2 linked regions of the Arabidopsis thaliana genome follow. The protein of the gene in region 1 interacts with the protein of each later gene in a pairwise test. Each region holds a gene or a part of one and is shown in the gene's direction. Other genes may lie near its edges. The genes, in order: GDU5 and LUL1.

Region 1 (3,593 bases):
TTGATCGCATAGTGTTGTAGTATGCATTGATGGACCTATGTTATACATTTTTGTGTGTATGTCAATGTCATAGATATGCATGAATATCTTTAAATGGGTCCAAGGTTTTGAAAGTGCATGTTTACTTTACTTGCCTAATAATAATATCAAGGGAGAAATATCCACAAGTTGACAATGCATAAATTTATATTTTTGATAAAGAACAACCCATAATTCTCTTTTCAAGTTGTCATGTCTCCTCCAACTCCATCAATATATTCTCATAATCTCATTCATGTATTGTCACACAACTCAAATAATGCTTTAATGTACTCAGCTTAAAAATTAAAACTTACCTTTCCTCCATCAGTTGAAGTTTTCGATCGTTAACAAGTACTCACGACTAATATTTATTGATTTGTGAGTTGTATCTAAAATTATGTATGTCAGTATGTGGCTATATTAATATAAAAAGATCAAATTTAAGTTTCAATTGAAATTATATTTAAAATCAACATGAAAGCTTTACCAAAAAAAAAACCTCATCAGAAAGGAGATGTACGTATGAAAAACAGAGTTCAATATAATCAGAATTCTTTCGATAATTTATGAAGTAAACTCTCAAATTTCGGATATTACAACACATATGAATAAAAACATTACTCATAACTCATAAGTGAGTAAGAAAAATAACATAATCCAAGAATAAGAGCTAATCCATCTTATGGTTCACTAGACATAGTTTATTCATTTAGAGATTGTAGATATATGGTTTATATTAATGTTCAAATATTAATCTAACAATTTTGGCAATCGACATGATTAAAAAATGAAATATATTCTCTTCCAACTATGGATACAAATAAAATCTATGGATTGTTGTTGTGGAATATTAAAAAGTAAACCCATATATAATTTACTGTTAACGGCAAACATCATTATCCAAATAGCACCATCGAAAAGACACATATCCCTGGCTTAGCGTAATAACAAATGGCCATGTGAAATTCATGGGCCCGAATAAAACACAAAGCTGGGCCCTCTTAATATTCCTAAATCCAAATAATCATATAATTATGTTTTCTGTTTGTCTCTCCCAAATATGATGTCGATAAAATTATAAGGGTTCGAATAGTTGCGCCAGTTAGGACGAACCAATTCATTTCCAATTCATTTCCGGTTTATACTACTTTTCTTTAGTATTTATGAACTATAATTTGTTGTCGTGTAAAAAATAGAACAAGTATGCGGCAAACTAACTATAGATTGTTTTTACGTAGAAAAAAAGCTTGATTTACATCAGTTTATTGTCCGTTCCAAAAATAGAAAACATTTCTCTGCTTTTTTTTATTGCAATCATTCAAAACCTAAATTTATAATCATTTATAACACCAAGAACATATATAAATCATCTTCACTCATAAAACATAAACAAACTACTCTACTTACAATATGCATAACCTCCACTAAATATATATGCATCCACAATTTACAAAATCATCATGTGGAAATTATCTCATACTTTAGTGTAATGGTTTTAACTGTTATATCACTTATAAGAAATCAGCTTAAAATTACTCGTATATGGGGCTTGTAGACTACCTTAAACTCCAAAAAACTAGATTTTGAAGCTCTAAATTGATCAATTAAGATGTATAGTTGGCCACTCTTTCAGCTGATCGATCATGTATATATGAAACAAATCTACAACGAATAAGTAAAACAATATTGCTTGTTTTTCAAGACGCAATGGAATTCAAGAGATCAGTCAATTCTACTAATAAATAATTTTCTAAATAAACATGATAATTTATCTATTTTTGTAGTTGTCTTTTGTCAACAAATGTCATCTTCATAAATGATTTCTTTATCCAAAAAATCACAAATTCATTGCCATAAATAACATGGTAAGATCACATATTAAGTTGAACAAAAAAGGGATCACATTTTCAAATATCTACCTCATATTTTTTTTTGTTATAATTTCTGACACGAGGAGATTATGGAACTGTCTTTAACAAATAAAAAAAGGGATTACGGAATTGAGATCTTAAAGTTTGATTATCCAAAAAGGATTTTATAAACAAAAAAATCAAGGTATATATCTAAATGCAAAAACGTATGATTAAATATCTTCGAACCTGGTGCATGATCAAAGCAACGTAACGTATCATGAAGATTCCGTGACCCACTTACCTTCAATTTTGTTTTATAATAATATTGTGAAATATTTATTACATCTCTTCCCTCTATTGTTCTCTTCCAGTACTATAAATAAAATGTCAAACCACTCCAACAAAATCAAACTAGCTACACAGTTATAAAAAAAAAGTATAAGCTTCACAATTTTCAAGCTTCTTCTCCTCTGTTCTTTAACAAATCCAAGAATAAGAAATATAAAACAATGAGGCAATTTCCAAGCATAAGAGGAAACATAAATGAGAAGATGATGACAACAATGGTGGAGTCTCAGACACGGTCTCCGTGGCGTACACCGGTTCCTTACCTATTCGGTGGTTTAGCCGCCATGCTTGGACTCATAGCCTTTGCTCTCTTGTTGCTCGCCTGCTCCTACTGGAGGCTCTCGCGGCAGACAGAAGATGAAGAGAAACAGACGGAGTCCGGTGAGAAAGTGGTGGCTAAGGCTTTTGAGGAGAAGATTCTTGTGATCATGGCTGGACAAAACAACCCTACCTTCTTAGCCACTCCGGTCGCGGCCAAGATTTGCCTGGATTGTGTTAATATGGAGAAGAAAGAAGGACAAAATGGGGAATCTAAAGTAACAGAAGAAAACCACTGACTACTGAGCTCTGTTCTCAAGAGTGTACTTTTTTGGATTCTCTGTTTTTGTCGGTTTGTTTTTTGTTTGTTGGGGAAGTAGTTTTCCTCTGTTTTTGTCGACCTTGAGATTGTAAATTTTCATTAGAGTAGTAAATGTGAACAAAAAAGTTGAGAAATTTCGGGTTTCTATGTATAAATGTTGGTATATGAATATATTTTGCTAAATTAAAGGTATCAATGTGTCATTGTTTTGATCATTAATATTTCCAAATTAGTTTTGAGAGTATATCTATATCCTGCTATAGCTTAAAGATTTACTTGTAAAACTAAGAAGTTTAGCTACATTTTCATGGCCGAGTGGTTAGCACTCTAAGTTAGAGGAGCATATATTTGGCCAAGACCAGGGGAGTGATTTCCGTTCTGAACGTGTGAGCCATCACTGTGTCTACGTGACTACTGAAGACATCTTTACTGGTCAAAACACTTGATTTTTATTGGGTCCAAAATAAATCAAAATGACCCAAGTTAGCAAACAAAAAAAACAAAAAAAAATATTGTGTGATGGGAAATATGTAAACAAATGGAAGTTGATTTTTAGTTTATTTTGTAAAAGTTACATAATTTTAGTCATTTTTTATAAAATTAGAATGTTATTTTATCGGAGAGCTTTTTTTCCGAAAAGTTTTCTCTCTATACCAGCTCTTTTTCTCCTGGTCATTTTTTTCGACAAAATTGTGGCTCCGACTAACGTTCGTGGACTTCCAAAGCCACGACGTTGGTTCGGCTTAAGTTTTTAGGTTTGTTTTTTTCTTTATTTGGCTGGGATCTTTTGG
Region 2 (3,902 bases), 7.8 Mb from region 1:
TCAAACCCTAAGTGTGTGTCTAGTATTTTGCAATATACGACGCATAAAGAAATATCCTAACATTGACAACAACAAAAAAAAATCTTAGCGGAGATATAGACGTGTGAGACAAGAGCTCACACGTGTTGCACATTCGAGACTTGTTGATAATGACGACAACAAGAGGTTCTAGAATATTCGTGTTGGTTTCATTATTATTAGCAAATAAGACCAAGTCAACAAACTAACTTAAACATTGTGGATCGTCCACTTGTCCGACTCTTACGTCAAACCCATCATTGTTCCACATATCTCCACGCGTCAATCTCTCTATAAATACGAACAAATGAACACGTATCAATTCAACTCAAAAAGTAACAATTTGAATTACTTCCGCAAATCTAAAATAATATCTAGTGAAGCGAATATGTGTTTCTTTGATAATCGGTGCGATCAGAATCTGACGGTGGTGGTGGATGTGGCGTGGTGGATGGAGGCTGTTCCTCCACAAATCATTTCTCCGGCGAAGCCATCGGTTTCTCCGATTCTTGAGACGATTTTAGAAGGCGGAGAGACCGAAGAAGACAATCAAGAACAAGAAAACGAGGACGTGTAAATTGTAATGATCATTTTGTTACTCGGTCTTGGGTTTAAGATAGACTCTTGTTGTTGTTGTTGTTTTTTCTATAACTGTATAAGATGAGATTTTGTATTGTATCTTTTGTACAATCAAATCTCAGTTCTTTGTGAAATTTTCATTCAACTTTCACATCTTGTACGCTCGGTGATCTGTTGTTATATGCTCACGAGTTGGTAATTAAAGACAAATCTTAATATACTTTCTAACCGAACCGGGACGATAACCGGTCCACGACAAAAAATCAGTATCTTCAAATATCAAACCAAACTTAAACCTGAAACCAGTCTCACCGCTATTTCTGTTTGGTGCGATCATTTTCTCAACCAAAAGAATCTAATTTACATTAATTTTTAATAAAGACATGTATGATTTATCTGCAAACTAAAGCAGTGTACGCATACTTATGTTTCAACTTTCGAGCATCACCTAAATATGAAACATAAATATCACGTGCGATAAGTATTAAGCTGCGTCCTATAAAAAAGTATACAAATATATAAAGATCACTTGATGATTAGTTAATTACACTACTACTATTCCTCTCTATCTCTATAAATATCAGCAATAACAATAATTTCCACATAGATCTTCTCAACACAGTCGAAAGCTGCCGAAGTCTAAATCGAAGAAAGAGTATATTTACAAATCATGGCTAGGATGATCGGACCATTCGAAACTGTACCGGCGATTCTTGTTTATCCGATGAGGGTTTCAGCTTCGCCTTCGCTGGGGACAATTTATGAGGAACACGATGAGTAAAATTTTAACAAGACAAGATCAAAACTCGAGTGTTTAATTATTTTTTAATCCATTTTAATGAAATATTCATTTTGAAATATATCTTGATAGTGCTTTCTATTTCTTGGTTGATTTCCACTTTAAACTCTTTTTTATCGACGTTATTATGATCTCCTATATAATCAGACATAAGAGAAGATGTTTCTTAATGACGATCAGTGCAAGATGTTTCTTAATGACGAGCAGTGCTTCTTGTAATCGCCGGTATTAATGGATGTGTTTCTTTGTTTTCCGATCAACCTCCAAAACCAATCTCGTGTCTCCGGTTTTGTCATTTCGTTTCTTCTTATTTTGTAACCGTGATATTGTTGTGAGGCCTTGGGCCTATTGCCTGCCTAGTGCTACTGATAATGATTTCTTTGTTTTATGTGATTAAAAGTAATAATCAATTTCCCATGGTAATTAATCAAGTTTAATACTAATTTATAATATATACAAATAAACGTTTTGGTGTTTCTTCGTCGACGTCGCTATCTCCAATCTCATTACTCCCCTTTCTCAATGATCATAAAACCTACTTCGATTCTACTCCTTATCAACTGAATCACCGAAAAACCTCACCTTTTTTCTTTTTCCGATCATGGGGAATCTGATCAGTTTGATCTTCTGCTGCGGGAGAAGGCAGAGGAGCAATATTCCTCCGGCGATGGAAACGGCTCCTCTTGAACTCCCACCGAACAGATTTGTATTCGCCGCCGTGCCACCATATCTGAACCCTAACCCTAACTACGTTGACCAGTATCCAGGTAACTGCCTTCCTCCGCCAGTAACTGAGCCGCCGATGCTACCGTACAATTTCAACCATTTGCATCACTATCCTCCCAACAGTTACCAACTACCTCATCCTTTGTTTCACGGCGGTAGATACCCTATACTGCCGCCTCCTACGTACGTCCACCAGAAAGCCGTCACGATTCGTAACGATGTTAATCTGAAGAAGAAGACTTTAACGCTCATACCCGACCCGGAGAATCCGAATCGACTTCTTGTCTCCTTCACATTTGATGCATCCATGCCCGGAAGGTTTTACTTTCAAACTATGAAATGATCAAATTTAGTTAAAAGTTTGAATCTTGTTTGAATCAATCAATGGAGTAATATAAATGACTTAGCTTTTGTTGTTTTGGTTGGCGAGAACAGGATCACAGTTGTTTTCTTTGCTACAGAAGATGCAGAATGTAATCTTAGAGCTACAAAGGAAGATACTTTGCCTCCAATCACTTTTGATTTCGGAGAAGGACTTGGTCAGAAGTTCATACAATCATCTGGAACGGGTATAGACTTGACGGCGTTTAAAGATTCCGAGCTATTCAAGGAGGTGGATACAGATGTCTTCCCGTTGGCGGTTAAGGCGGAGGCAACTCCAGCGGAAGAAGGAAAGTCTGGTTCCACCAATGTGCAGATTACTCAAGTGGTGTATACCAAGGAGAAAGGAGAGATTAAAATAGAAGTGGTGAAGCAGATACTATGGGTGAATAAGAGGAGGTATGAGCTGCTTGAGATTTATGGGATTGAGAACACGGTTGATGGTTCCGATGAGGGAAAGGAATGTGTTGTATGCTTGTCTGAACCACGCGATACAACTGTTCTTCCTTGCAGACACATGGTATAGTGTTCATCATACTTAAAATTAGCTCATATAAAAAAAAAATTGAACTTCTTTTGAAATGGTTTGTGTATTTCTGTTTGGCAGTGTATGTGTAGCGGGTGCGCAAAGGCGTTAAGGTTTCAGACAAATCTGTGCCCAGTTTGCAGACAACCTGTTGAGATGCTTTTGGAGATTAACAAGAACGGATGAAATGGAGATGGAGAATGAACAAATTTAGTTAAGCAATCGACTTGTGTAATATATGCCATGCTTAATTAAGACGTAAAACGTTATGGTTCAATATATTATAAGTGGAAACTGAGTTCTTAAATAGCAATGATAAACAGATAGGCAGCTTCTTATTTAGTTATAGGTGCTTGGCCAGGAGCTGTGGTGGCCGAGGACCAACTATGGCAAACACAGAAGGTGATGGCATTACAACTGAGACAAAGACAGACACGAATCGACGTAGATAAGACTAAGGCGAAGCGAGATTGAGTTTTACATTGGTTTAGTCTTCCCACCATTGATGAACAAACACACCTCTGGCTCTCAGAGTTTGAAGCATGTTGATGCAGTCTGACTTGTGGTTGGAACAGCGGAGGAAAAGCTCATCCACGTAGCATATGACTCCTGTTTCCAGTAAAACAGTTAGGAACTTCATTTCCACTTGGTTTGTGTTCATCTTAAGGACTACAAAGTCTGCGTATTTCGCAGTTTCCTCAAACCAAGCAAGGAAATCGAATCTCTCATCTTCTGGAAATGGTTCTAGCTGTTCAAGCGGAGTTATCTTTTTCCCTGTCGAGTTGTTCTCAGCCAAATCCGGATGGTAAACAAAGGTGACGCCGGGTTTCTTGACATAGGATAGCATTACTGAAGTGTTGTGGTCGACAAAGT

Evidence for each region.
Region 2: the proteins of GDU5 (region 1) and LUL1 interact in a two-hybrid assay, tested with the Arabidopsis thaliana proteins (one study listed by BioGRID).

The regions. Positions count from the first base shown.
Region 1 is NC_003076.8:8,582,282-8,585,874, forward strand, and holds GDU5 (glutamine dumper 5), read left to right. Parts: upstream 1-2,253; 5' UTR 2,254-2,383; coding exon 2,384-2,779; 3' UTR 2,780-3,016; downstream 3,017-3,593. UniProt on the Arabidopsis thaliana protein: Probable subunit of an amino acid transporter involved in the regulation of the amino acid metabolism. Stimulates amino acid export by activating nonselective amino acid facilitators.
Region 2 is NC_003076.8:759,763-763,664, reverse strand, and holds LUL1 (RING/U-box superfamily protein), read left to right. Parts: upstream 1-1,824; 5' UTR 1,825-1,997; coding exon 1,998-2,440; intron 2,441-2,557; coding exon 2,558-3,023; intron 3,024-3,110; coding exon 3,111-3,215; 3' UTR 3,216-3,346; downstream 3,347-3,902. Other genes in the region: DIP2 (E3 ubiquitin-protein ligase), read left to right, coding at 326-595; AT5G03204 (uncharacterized protein), read left to right, coding at 1,268-1,378; CPUORF47 (peptide upstream protein), read right to left, coding at 3,517-3,902. UniProt on the Arabidopsis thaliana protein: Acts as an E3 ubiquitin-protein ligase, or as part of E3 complex, which accepts ubiquitin from specific E2 ubiquitin-conjugating enzymes and then transfers it to substrates (in vitro).